3 linked regions of the Xenopus tropicalis genome follow. The protein of the gene in region 3 interacts with the protein of the main gene of each other region in a pairwise test. Links are inferred from orthologs where the notes say so. Each region holds a gene or a part of one and is shown on either strand. Other genes may lie near its edges.

Region 1 (3,754 bases), about 26 Mb from region 3:
ATCTTTTGTGCTGAGAGATGCTCAGTGATGTAAGCTACGCTGCACAAAGCAGGTCTGGCTATTATCCATTTTACAAGGTCCATAGAGACAACAACCATTGCTGTGTAGAGTACCTAAGCTGAACACTATAAACTTTACAGGGGATGAGAGGTCATGAGAACTTTTAGCCTATTCAATGGCTACATTTCATTTGCAGATGCAAATATTTTTGTGCTATATATATATAGAGAGAGAGAGAGAGAGAGAGACTGAGTACCATACAGTACATGCTGGGACTTAATATACAGAAAAAAAGTTTTTATTTCTGAAATAATACTCTGTCTCTATATTTTGTTTATTTTGACCAGCACCAGATCTCCGTTTTTAGGGTTGTGCTCCTCTCTGCACCAATATATACATATATAAACACACTACTTCTGCATTACAACTACTTTGGCTTTGGTTTTTGCTTTTTATATGTAAAAAATTATGCAGTTTTTGCAAAAACATGTAGATTTAGGTTAAGAATGTCTGTCCCCTATACACAATATTTTTTCCAAACAATATAATGAATTGGTAGTCTGAGTGAATAAGGATACCTGTGTCCTGGCAAGTCACCTGCTGCACAGGCTATATGTACATTCTGGATTTGAATACTTAAACCTACATGGTCTTAGTCTTACTGGTTACAGCCTTCCTTATTTAATATAACAGATTGATTGGTTTCTAATCTGATGTACAATCTGTGCAAATCCCTGAAAAATAATAATTATTAAGTGGACATGTGTCACTCTTGACTTCTAACATACATTAAAATCAAAATATGTATGTAAGAAGTGGTGCATTTCTTGATATTTTTCTGCCTGGACCTGTAAACCTTAAGTCATGTCCTTGTAAATGAATTTCACCCTTCCCCACCCCCTCACTTCTGTATTCTCCTCCTGTATTTTTTCTGTATTTTTGCTGTGTGTTTAACATTCAATTATCTTTATCTCCTTTAATCAATTAACTACATCTGCTTGTTTTCTGTAGATCAGCACAGCAACTTGTACATGGCTGTAATATGAACATATCACTCCCCTTCGCTAGCCAGTAGCCACAGTTTAAAAAAGACAAAAAAAATTTTTGTGATCATTTGATAACATTTATTGGCTAATAAAAATGCAAGCTTTTCACATTAAAATAAAATGACAGCTCTTCATTAAGCATAATAGATTCAGGATAGGAGCAGCTTGTGCAATGCATGGAGACTGGCTTCTCTTTGTTCCCAATGTGTCTCTTCCTCCCTCGCTTTGCATTTGTGGGAGGGAGCCTGGTGCACACATTAATATTCCCACTGCTGACAGGAGGCACATTCAGTGAGATCTGAGCAAGATGCAGCCCCTGTCCCTGCTGTATGGGAGCTATCAGAGATCCTGACTGCAGGTACCTGGATTTATCAGCCAGGGCAGCATCCTGGAACATTACCCCCTAGGTGGAATTACAAATTAAGGCCGCTGGGGATTTGAGACACTGGCTATAGAACGCTGCAGCAGTGTGAGCCATGGCAGAGGTAAAGTGCAGCAGCAGCACTGGGTCTCCCACTACTAATGGGCTGGTGGCGAATGCAGAGCTGGAGGTGAAGAAGCTGCAAGAGCTGGTGAGGAAGCTGGAGAAGCAGAATGAGCAGCTGAGGAACCGAGCCAGTGCAGTGAGCAACTGTACGCCAAGCCCACACCTGCTGCTGCAGCATCCTCCTTCTGTGGTGCATCAGTCAGGGACATGCATCCTCTCTTCCCCTGTGCTCACACGGCCCGCAGGGCTCTGCCTTCCCAGTCCCGTGCCCACCTTGCTGTGCACTTCAGCAGTGGCCGGCAGCCTGTTTTCCCCAGAATCCATGGGCTGTTTTAGTACCAACAAAAGGCTGCATTTGTCCTGCATCAATGCTGCAGAGGGGCCCCAAAATGACTGCCCAGTTCCAGGATCTACCCTACTGGATGAGGTGCAGGTTCTGGATTTGGAAGACGGGTATTGCAGTGGCGATGAGGATACCTGGTAATGATATACTGGGGGTTTGGAAGGCTCTGAAGTTGAGAACAAATGATAAGCTTTGTATACATTGCATTCACTACATTTAAATTTGTACCTTTAAACAGCTCTATACTTGGTTATGGGTGTGCTGATTTACATTCAGATTAGTTAGCAGTCGTTGGACTGGGTGGGGAACTGTTTTGTATGGTACTACTGGGTATGGGAAGAAAGATTAAAAGTATATGAAGGCATGCAGGAGCATTCACTCCAATAGGAAAACTACATATTTGCCAAAGAGGTTTTAGCTTGTTATTCCTCAGTGATTGGGAATAGTAATACAATCTGCTTTAGGCAATAGGATTTGCTTTTATCTCAGCCTAAATCTTACAGAGCTGCCATCATTTATTTATTAACTGCTTCAGCACTTGAGATTGAGTTTATATTCAACTCTCACTTGCCAAATGCCTTTGTGATTTTTTAATTAATGGTGAGGATCTTGGCATCAGGTAATATTTTAGGGCAGGTTAAATTGAAGGACAGAGGGCTGTTTTAGTTTGCACCATGCCATCTCTGCATTTCAATACTCTGTAGGATCAGAAGAGAAATGCTTGCTTTTCTTTGCAATTGTTTTAATCCTTTTGTAATAAGTGATATATACAGTATCTATAAGTAACAAATAATCTTTTGGAAAATACTGATATTAAGTTTATTGGCAAAGTGTGTGTGGAGTGTGTGGTAAAGTAGTCTCATGATAGCTAAATATATCCCTCACCTGATTTATACAGAGCATCATCAAAGCACATGCTCAAGCGGGAACCTGGAAGACAGAAGCCCTCACCACAAAGGCCAATCTGTAACATCTTTATATAGATCACACATTTTTTCATGTAATGAAAAGCACAGACTTGTATCTTCTGTACAGCTGAGTGAATGAAACTGTATTTCAACTTGGAACCACAAGCACATCTAGGGGAAAGCTCACCCAGGGGGTGGGGTCAGTACAAGTGTATTATTACCCACCTGTTGAGCTTAGAATTGCTTAGGTAGCAAAACAATTTCCTGCAATAGCCCTAAGTGTTCTTCAGTCTAATTTGTCAAAAATGAACAAATTTGCATCAAATTCAACTATTTAATTGACATAGTAACATAGTAAGTTGGGTTGAAAAAAGACATACGTCCATCAAGTTCAACCATAATGCCCTATATACTGTATAACCTGCCTAACTACTAGTTTATCCAGAGGAAGGCAAAAAACCCATCTGAAGCCTCTCTAATTTGCCGCAGAGGGGAAACAATTCCTTCCTGACTCCAAGATGGCAATCGGACCAATCCCTGGATCAACTAGTACTAAGAGCTATCTCCCATAACCCTGTATTCCCTCACTTGCTAAGAATCCATCCAGCCCCTTCTTTAAGTTATGTAATGTATCAGCCAGCACAACTGATTCGGGGAGGGAATTCCAGAACTTCACAGCTCTCACTGTAAAAAATCCTTTCCGAATATTTAAATGGAACCTCCCTTCTTCTAAACGGAGTGGGTGCCCTCGTGTCCGTTGGAAGGACCTACTGGTAAATAAAACATTAGAAAGGTTATTATATGATCCCCTTATATATTTATACATAGTTATCATGTCACCTCTTAAGCGCCTCTTCTCCAGTGTAAACAGACCCAACTTGGCCAGTCTTTCTTCATAACTGAAACTTTCCATACCCTTTACCAGCTTAGTTGCCCTTCTCTGGACCCTCTCTAACTCAATAATGTCCCG
Region 2 (3,754 bases), about 100 Mb from region 3:
ATTGTGGGGAAAAACAAAAATTTGTTGCGGGGCGACTAATCTCTCTGTGTGCCACTGCCCTAAGGGCTCTGGCACACGGGGAGATTAGTCGCCCGCGGCAAAACTCCCTGTTCGCGGGCGACTAATCTCCCCAAGTTGCCTACCCCTGCCATCCCACCGGCGAACATGTAAGTCGCCTGCGGGATGGCAGACGCGGCGTCGCGATTTTGCGTAAATCGCCGAAAAAGACTCGCGAGCCCTAAACCTGAATTACTGATACAGCAATGTATCTTAACTGATAGGGGTTAAATATTAACCCTTACACTTAACCTTGGCATGACAAAAAGACTTGCAATGTATACTCGGCAAGTATTTGGTATAGACTGATAAAACAATCGCAAGTCTATTAGAGAAGCTTATTTAACAGGTCGCTGCGACCAAAGGAATTTAAAAGTAGTATTACAGCAGGGCAAGTTCACTGTGGGTGACCTTATAAAAACTAAAATAAAACCTTTCTCTGTCTATTTAGCAAGTCTATTAGCTTCACAGAGAATGAAAATGCCTTCAATCACCTGCGATCCCGGCGCCCCGATGTGTTACACGGTGTAACGCGCATTCCATACCGTTCTGCAGGTACAATTTCAAAACACCGCCATGACAACAGCTGTGCAAAGCACAATAAGCGATGTACTGATTGCGAGAAGGACCAAAAAAAATAGATCTCAGAACTGAGCAGCGGGGAATGTCACCACTGAGGCGGGAATAAGAATAGCAAGGGGCTGGGCACTGGAAACCTAAGGTAGCCATCTTTGATTCTGGCCATAACTAAAAGTGTATCGTGTAACAGATTTTTATTAAACTACTAACTTTTTTGTATTATTATTGTATTGATAACAGTATTTTTGTTAGTAAATGTGCCCACATTCCACAACTACCATAATGCCATGGTCTCAGGCAGGCACGCTTTTCGACCCGTTGTCACTTAGCTACTCATCACTCGGTTACGGGTACCTGTTAGACACATTATATTTAAAAACCCGTTCCTTCAATATTCCGAAAGCTTTGGGTTGCCTGTTGGAACTGGCCCTTTATGAAGTCAAACAGGAAGTGGATCCAAGTTCACGTGGATTTGCTGGTTGTGCAGGGAGAGTCGGATTGCACATACACAGTACCGCACATACACGGTGATGGCTGCTTGCACTGAGGTGAAAGTGCAGGGATATGAGGAGTTCTGCGAGGCGCTAAAGAAACACAAGGGAAAGCAAGTGTTTGCTTATTTCTCGGGGAATAAGAACGAGCAGGGGGTGAGCTGGTGCCCTGACTGTGTGAAAGGTACGGGAGACATGAGGGATATATTCCGGCCATGAGCTAAACTGAGATTCTTGTGATTTACTTCTGCTGTGTCACATGACTAGACTGAGCATTAGGCATAGCAGTGCTTTTCCTTTTTGTGTGGGGGAGAGGGGCATTATGGGATTGCCACTTAGTTTTGGTGGGCATCACTGCAGCTTTATGAGGGATTAAAATTGATCTGTGTTTGCAATATGGGTTTAATGTCGGTCTTAATAAGTACTGTTTCAATCAGTTATAGCAAAATGTAAAACATTTGCCATTGGGAAAACGCAGGCTGAGAATCAGCCCCTATATTGGCACTAGCTTACTACCTTGCCTGCACCCGGAATCATTGTCTGTGCCTGGGTGCAGACAGACCCAAGGGATATCAGCAAAAAAAGAGCAAGAGTTTGAATTTCACAGCTGATATCCGCCGCGTCAACAGCTGGTACCAACATTGGGGCTGATTCTTGGCCTGCATTTGCAGTTGTGTGTTTACTTTGGAAATACTACTATAGTTTATATAAATAAAGCTGCTGTGTAGCCAGAGGGCAGCCATTCAAACTGAAATTGGGCTAAATGACACAGGTAAAATAATAGATAAGGTCTGTAAAACACCATTGTATTTTACAGAGCTTATCTGCTACAGAGCTTTTTTGTTACCTGCTATGTAACAATCAGCACTGCAAATGATATTTGTTCAGATTTGCATAGCGCACGTATTGTTCTACTCTGTGGTCACCACTTCTAAGGTGACAGAGATTTCTAAGCAATATGGGGACCTTTGCAACCTGGAAAGAGGCAAGGCAAATAATTACAAAACTAAAATTAAAAAAAAAAACTGAAAAGCAGCTAAGAATACCCCTTGGAGTGGCTGAACCCCTGAGCCCTTCCATAGTTGTACATTTTTGCTGTTGTTGCCACTTGACTATGACAAGTCACTTATATTCTAACAGGGGTTCTAGCACTAATTTTGATAAAATTACGGCACATTGTGCTTTTATTTTATATATGTTTGTAAACATAAATCTAGTAAATAAGTCTCAGTAATTGCACATTGTCTTGTCCTCCTCCAGCCCCAACCACTGCTGCCTTTTCATTATTATATATTACAATTAAAGAAGCTCCAACTGTTTTGCCATAGATTGTAGTTTAACAGTAGACTTGGCACACAGATTGGTGTGGTACAGGTACAGAGTGGCGCCAGAACAGGTCAGTGTACCATCTATTTGTAGGGAATGTATTTGTAAGAAATTGCTCCAAAAATAATGTTACAGCATTAGAAAATGCATTGACCAAAGTTCATATTGTTCCAGTCCATGCCTTGGAACTGCAGTGAAACTAGTTAGCACTCTGAGCATGAACCTAGGCTTTAGTGACAAATCATTTATATAGATTAGTTGAAAGGTAGCAACTGTACCATGTGTTATACATGTGTGTATTTTGGATAAGCATAGTGCACAATTATGGGATTGTGCACTATGCCTCTTTTTATCAGTTACTGGGCTCTCCTAAATTTTGGGAATAAGGCTTTTGTATAAACATATATTTATAGTACTTATTAGTCAGTGCCACACTGGACCCTATGTACTTTCTGAGCCTCTTACCAGTTAAAGGGTCTGTTTTGTTTATACTTGTGCATTCTGCTTTATCTCCTGCTGTTGGTTAATTAAATCTCCCAGTGCCCTCCAACAGCACATCCTTGGTCAGAGGGATCTTTAATGATGAATGTTACCATAAAGTCTCATATAAATCTTATTTCATTATCATTTAGTGTACCTTATCCTTAAGATAAACATGACAGGTGAGATTTTGTTTCCAGAAATTCAATTTTTATTTGCAATTATGTAAACAAACAACAGGGATAAAAAAACAAACAAACAGATATACAGTATGTAACATATTGACAATTGCTTGGTCCAGAGAATCGCATAATGCAGTGACTTAACACAGCAGTGCAGTTCAAAGGTCAGGGCTGCCTTACTAAATGGGCAAATGGGGCATCTGTTGGGGGGCCACTGTGCCCTACCCGCATGCCAGTACATCTGCCCTCTTTACCCACCGCTGCAATCCCTGCTTTTCAGAAAAAAAGAAAAAAAAATTCAAGGTGGCCATGTGTTCCACTGTAGAATGCACAGCCATCCTGGAGAGAGAGAGAGAGTGCCAAGCAGCAAAATAAAGAAGACTTTGTTATTGGTATTCTGCTTGTGCAAGTGTAGGTAGTAGTGATGTGTGGGCCAGCCCGATACCCATGGGACCTGCGGGTTAACCCACGGGTCGGGCAGGTTTGGGCCGACCTTGGCACATCACCTGTGGGCTGAGCACTTCCACTCGCCCTCCCTGCCCGCAGCCTTACACTGCCGGCGGCTCTTCTCCGGCTTTTCTATTTATAGGCCCGTGCCCGGAAGCCCTGCCCCTTTTGTGACGCTGGCTGGTGGCCACT
Region 3 (3,754 bases):
ACAGGCACATAGCAGATAACAGATAAAACACTATTGTATTCTACAGAACTTATCTGTTATCTGCTATGTAACCTGTGCCTTTTCTCCTTTTTTCCAGCTTGAATGGCTGCCCCCGTGGCTACACAGCAGCTTATTTATATAAACTATAGTAGTGTTACTGTAGCAAACACACAACTTTTACCAGTGCAGGGCAACAGTGCATTATATTTTTATTACTTTAAAACTCTTTTCTGGTGTTAACAGGCAAACACCTGAATAGCAAAATGACAATAACAAAACATTGTAGCCTCACAGAGTAATAGTTTTTTGCTGCTGACGGTCAGTGATCCCCATTTGCAAGCTTAAAAGTGTCAAAAGAAGAAGGTGAATTATCCAAAAACTATAAATAATGAAGACCAACTGAAAAGTTGCTAACATGGGCTATTCTTTAACATACTAAAAAGTAACTTGAACCCCTTTAAAATACAACCTCCAGTCTCCTCCTAACAGCCTTTGACTACCAGCTCATCAACAGTGAAGGGCCACAGGTTGTATAGCCATATTTATACAGAAATATCTAACAACTGTTGCACAATGTCACCCCTCAGAAGGGCCTGAGTGTAGGGTTCATGTTGATCTATGGGCCAGTTTGCATAAAGCTGAAAACAGACGGGGGGGCTGGGACTTTTAGGGGGGAAAGTAGAGCTGAAGCAGATGAAGGAGCAGCCCCATTTCCCAGGCACATAGAAGTGCAGGAAGCAGAAGGCACTTACAAGAGTTAATAGAAGAGCTGCCAGGCCAGCCAGGAGCAGCAGGATCTCACACAGACAGCAATGCATGGCGGCGGCAGCAGCATCCCTGGCACAGCGCTCTGGGGAGAAGAGTCGTAGCCCAAAGCCACGGCTGAGCCCTTTCCGGTCTGCGGTAAGTCCACTGACTGCATCTGCCGGAACCTATGGCACTGCTACACCTATGCGGAAGTGTTTCTATGTTACTAGACAGGAACTTATTGCGAGCGAGAGAAGCGAAGGGAAGCTCCGCAGCTGAGCCGCCTCCGCACAGCGCCATCGCCTGGTGAATAGACTGTACTGCGCGAACAGTAGCTTTTTCCTAAGAAATTGTAGTTTGACGCCCTTCGGCTCGGTATGGGAGGACAGCAGCTGCATTGCAGCGCACATTAAGGAATATCTATGAATTCAATGCGTATTTAAAAGGCGCTAAATGAAATAAGGTTGAGCTACTTCCATGTGCGCTAGTGAGCTGCCTAACAGTGTAGTTCTGGCATTGTGCCGGCAGGGGGCAGGTAGGCATAGGGGCTTGCCTGGCGCTACATAGGAAGTATAGTAGCCCGGTGTTTATAGGCAACACGTGTGGCTGAGCCGGGGCTGCCCATTGGCAGACAGGGAGCCGGTTGTTGAAGTTGGGTACAAGGAGGTTACAGGGGCTCCGCGCTGAGGCCTGCAACATGGCGGCTGGTTTCAAGTGAGTGGCTCCTACGTATCAGGCTAGTTACCAGGATAAACGGGCAGGGACCGGGGCAGCGGCAGATAAGGAATCTCCTGGGCTTAGGGAGTGGGTGCCAGTTATATGCAGGGCAAATGTAGCACATGTGCAGTTACCAATAGCAACCAGTCAGCAATTAGCCTTGAAAGCAACAATGTGATTGGCTGCTAGGAGCCTATTGCACTAATGTACTTTACCTATTTTTGTAAATCAGTCCCATGAGTTGTAGTGCAGATCTATGGTTCCTTTAAGGCTATGAGTATTCTCCACCTTGAGTTGGGTGATGTATTCCCAGGGGCTCATTATGTGGGAATGTAATGGGAGAGGCTAATGATGATCCCATAAGTATCAGCGTTTTACAGAGATGCTGTTGGTGGCATTAGGCAGCGGTGGGCAGCCATTAGCCATAAAGGTGTTGTCGGACTGCAACTCCCAGAATATCAACTGCAGCCTTGTTCTGTCACTGGAAGCCCTATGTGCTACGCCCTAAAGCAGCAGTTTTGTTGTATGTTGCAGCCTGATGTGTCCAAAACAAAGTTTTGTCTTATTTTAAAGGGAAAGTTCTCCTTAAAATTAAACTTAAGTATAATGAGATGTTTTTATCCTCGGGGAGCTGTTTCTCCCCAGTAAATTAATTGGGTTGCATCTGAATGATTTGTCCTTCTACGACTCTCTCTTCGTCTTGAAAAGTTGTATGTTCTCTGGTTGCCAGGGTCATGGGAGGGGCTACATGAACCCCGTGGGCCTCCTGTTGGACTCTGTACTAATTAAACAGTTTATATTAACTGAACACCTCTGGGCTGTCTGGTCCATACACACTGTGCATCAGTGCAGCGGCTGCAAGGGGTCTAGTACCCTACAACTGCCAATCAGGCGTTGACTTTCAAACAGGTGTAAATGCGTACTGTTTATGGGTTTCTGTGGTTTACGTAACTGGGTGCATGTTTTGATAATTTTATTACATAACTTTACATGTGTCTCTGTGCTTGGACCCTATGGTTTCCAGGAGACAGTTTATGGTACAGTGAACTGGGTGTCCGTGTATTTATTGAGCAACTTACGTGTTAGGTCTAACTTGTATTTTAGGCAGCAGGCAAACATAGGGTTAGAGCAGTGATCCACAACCAGTGGCTCGGGGGCAACATGTTGCTCACCAACCCCTTGGATGTTGCTCTCAGTGCCCCCAAACCAGGTAGTTATTTTTGAATTCCTGACTTGGGGGCAAGTTTTGGTTGAATAAAAACAAGATTTACTACCAAATAAAGCCCCCTGTAAGCTGATAGTGTGCATAGAGGCACCTAATAGCCAATCACAGCCCTTATTTGGCTCCTCCATGAACTTTTATGATGCTTGTGTTGCTCTCCAAGTCTTTTTACATTTGACTGTGGCTCACAAATAAGAAAGGTTGGGGATCCCTGGGTTAGAGAAACACAAATTGACTTGTGTGGAAAAAAATTGCCTAAAATATCTTATTTTTCTCCCTTCTTCTCCCTCACAGGACGGTGGAACCTTTAGAGTATTACAGAAAATTCCTGGTAGGTATATGCACACTAACACAGGCCTACTGGGGCACTACCAGCCATACAGTGCCTATACTGGACTCAGAAATCAGCTCTGGGTTTAGAATAATAGATCCCTGTCCAATGTACATTCAGAGCCAAGCAATGATTCCTCCATAATTAACTTGCATATTCAGCATCCACTTTCACCTCCCATTGACTTGGAACAGTAAATGCCTCACAGCAGGGATCCTGGTGCTGCCGGAGTGTCCCATTGGCACATATATTGGCATCTTTAGAGCATTGCTTTATTGTGTTGGTTTTACAGAAGGAGGCTTGTCGGCCGGACGGTCGAGAACTCACTGAGTTTAGGACAACGACCATAAATGTTGGTAAGTAGAATTTATGTTAAAAAAACAATCTTTATTTTCAGGCTGGCTATAATAACGTGCATTGTTCATGGATCTGTCATCACCAATGTCTCATTGTGCTCTTAATTAAATCTACCCACCTTACCATGGCCTCCAGTAAAACTGCTGAAAACAGACCTTGGCCAAACCATTGGATGAACCAATCTTTCCCACCAGCTGATTGGCTGAAAACATTTGCTCATTTGAAGGCCTTACTTGAAAGCAGGTTTACCCACCATGATAATTATGAAATTGCTCTCAAATTTGTAGGGGTCACCATTAATTAATGATAGGCCAATTTTATCAAGAGTTTTTTTTAATACTGTGTTAATTATTGTTGCAGGTTCCATTACCACAGCGGAT

The links.
Region 1: the proteins of exosc8 (region 3) and slain1 interact in binary tests that used the Homo sapiens proteins (3 or more experiments, as listed by UniProt). The link is inferred for Xenopus tropicalis from reciprocal best matches to the Homo sapiens genes EXOSC8 and SLAIN1.
Region 2: the proteins of exosc8 (region 3) and txndc17 interact in binary tests that used the Homo sapiens proteins (3 or more experiments, as listed by UniProt). The two-hybrid records come from large-scale screens. The link is inferred for Xenopus tropicalis from reciprocal best matches to the Homo sapiens genes EXOSC8 and TXNDC17.

What each region holds. Positions count from the first base shown.
Region 1 is NC_030678.2:125,991,546-125,995,299, reverse strand, and holds the start of slain1 (SLAIN motif-containing protein 1), read left to right. Parts: upstream 1-1,370; 5' UTR 1,371-1,522; coding exon 1,523-2,013; intron 2,014-3,754. UniProt on the Homo sapiens protein: Microtubule plus-end tracking protein that might be involved in the regulation of cytoplasmic microtubule dynamics, microtubule organization and microtubule elongation.
Region 2 is NC_030678.2:48,982,200-48,985,953, reverse strand, and holds the start of txndc17 (thioredoxin domain-containing protein 17), read left to right. Parts: upstream 1-1,006; 5' UTR 1,007-1,166; coding exon 1,167-1,311; intron 1,312-3,754. UniProt on the Homo sapiens protein: Disulfide reductase. May participate in various redox reactions through the reversible oxidation of its active center dithiol to a disulfide and catalyze dithiol-disulfide exchange reactions. Modulates TNF-alpha signaling and NF-kappa-B activation.
Region 3 is NC_030678.2:151,682,798-151,686,551, reverse strand, and holds the start of exosc8 (exosome complex component RRP43), read left to right. Parts: upstream 1-1,388; 5' UTR 1,389-1,444; coding exon 1,445-1,461; intron 1,462-2,980; coding exon 2,981-3,017; intron 3,018-3,309; coding exon 3,310-3,373; intron 3,374-3,734; coding exon 3,735-3,754. Other genes in the region: alg5 (dolichyl-phosphate beta-glucosyltransferase precursor), read right to left, coding at 753-818. UniProt on the Homo sapiens protein: Non-catalytic component of the RNA exosome complex which has 3'->5' exoribonuclease activity and participates in a multitude of cellular RNA processing and degradation events.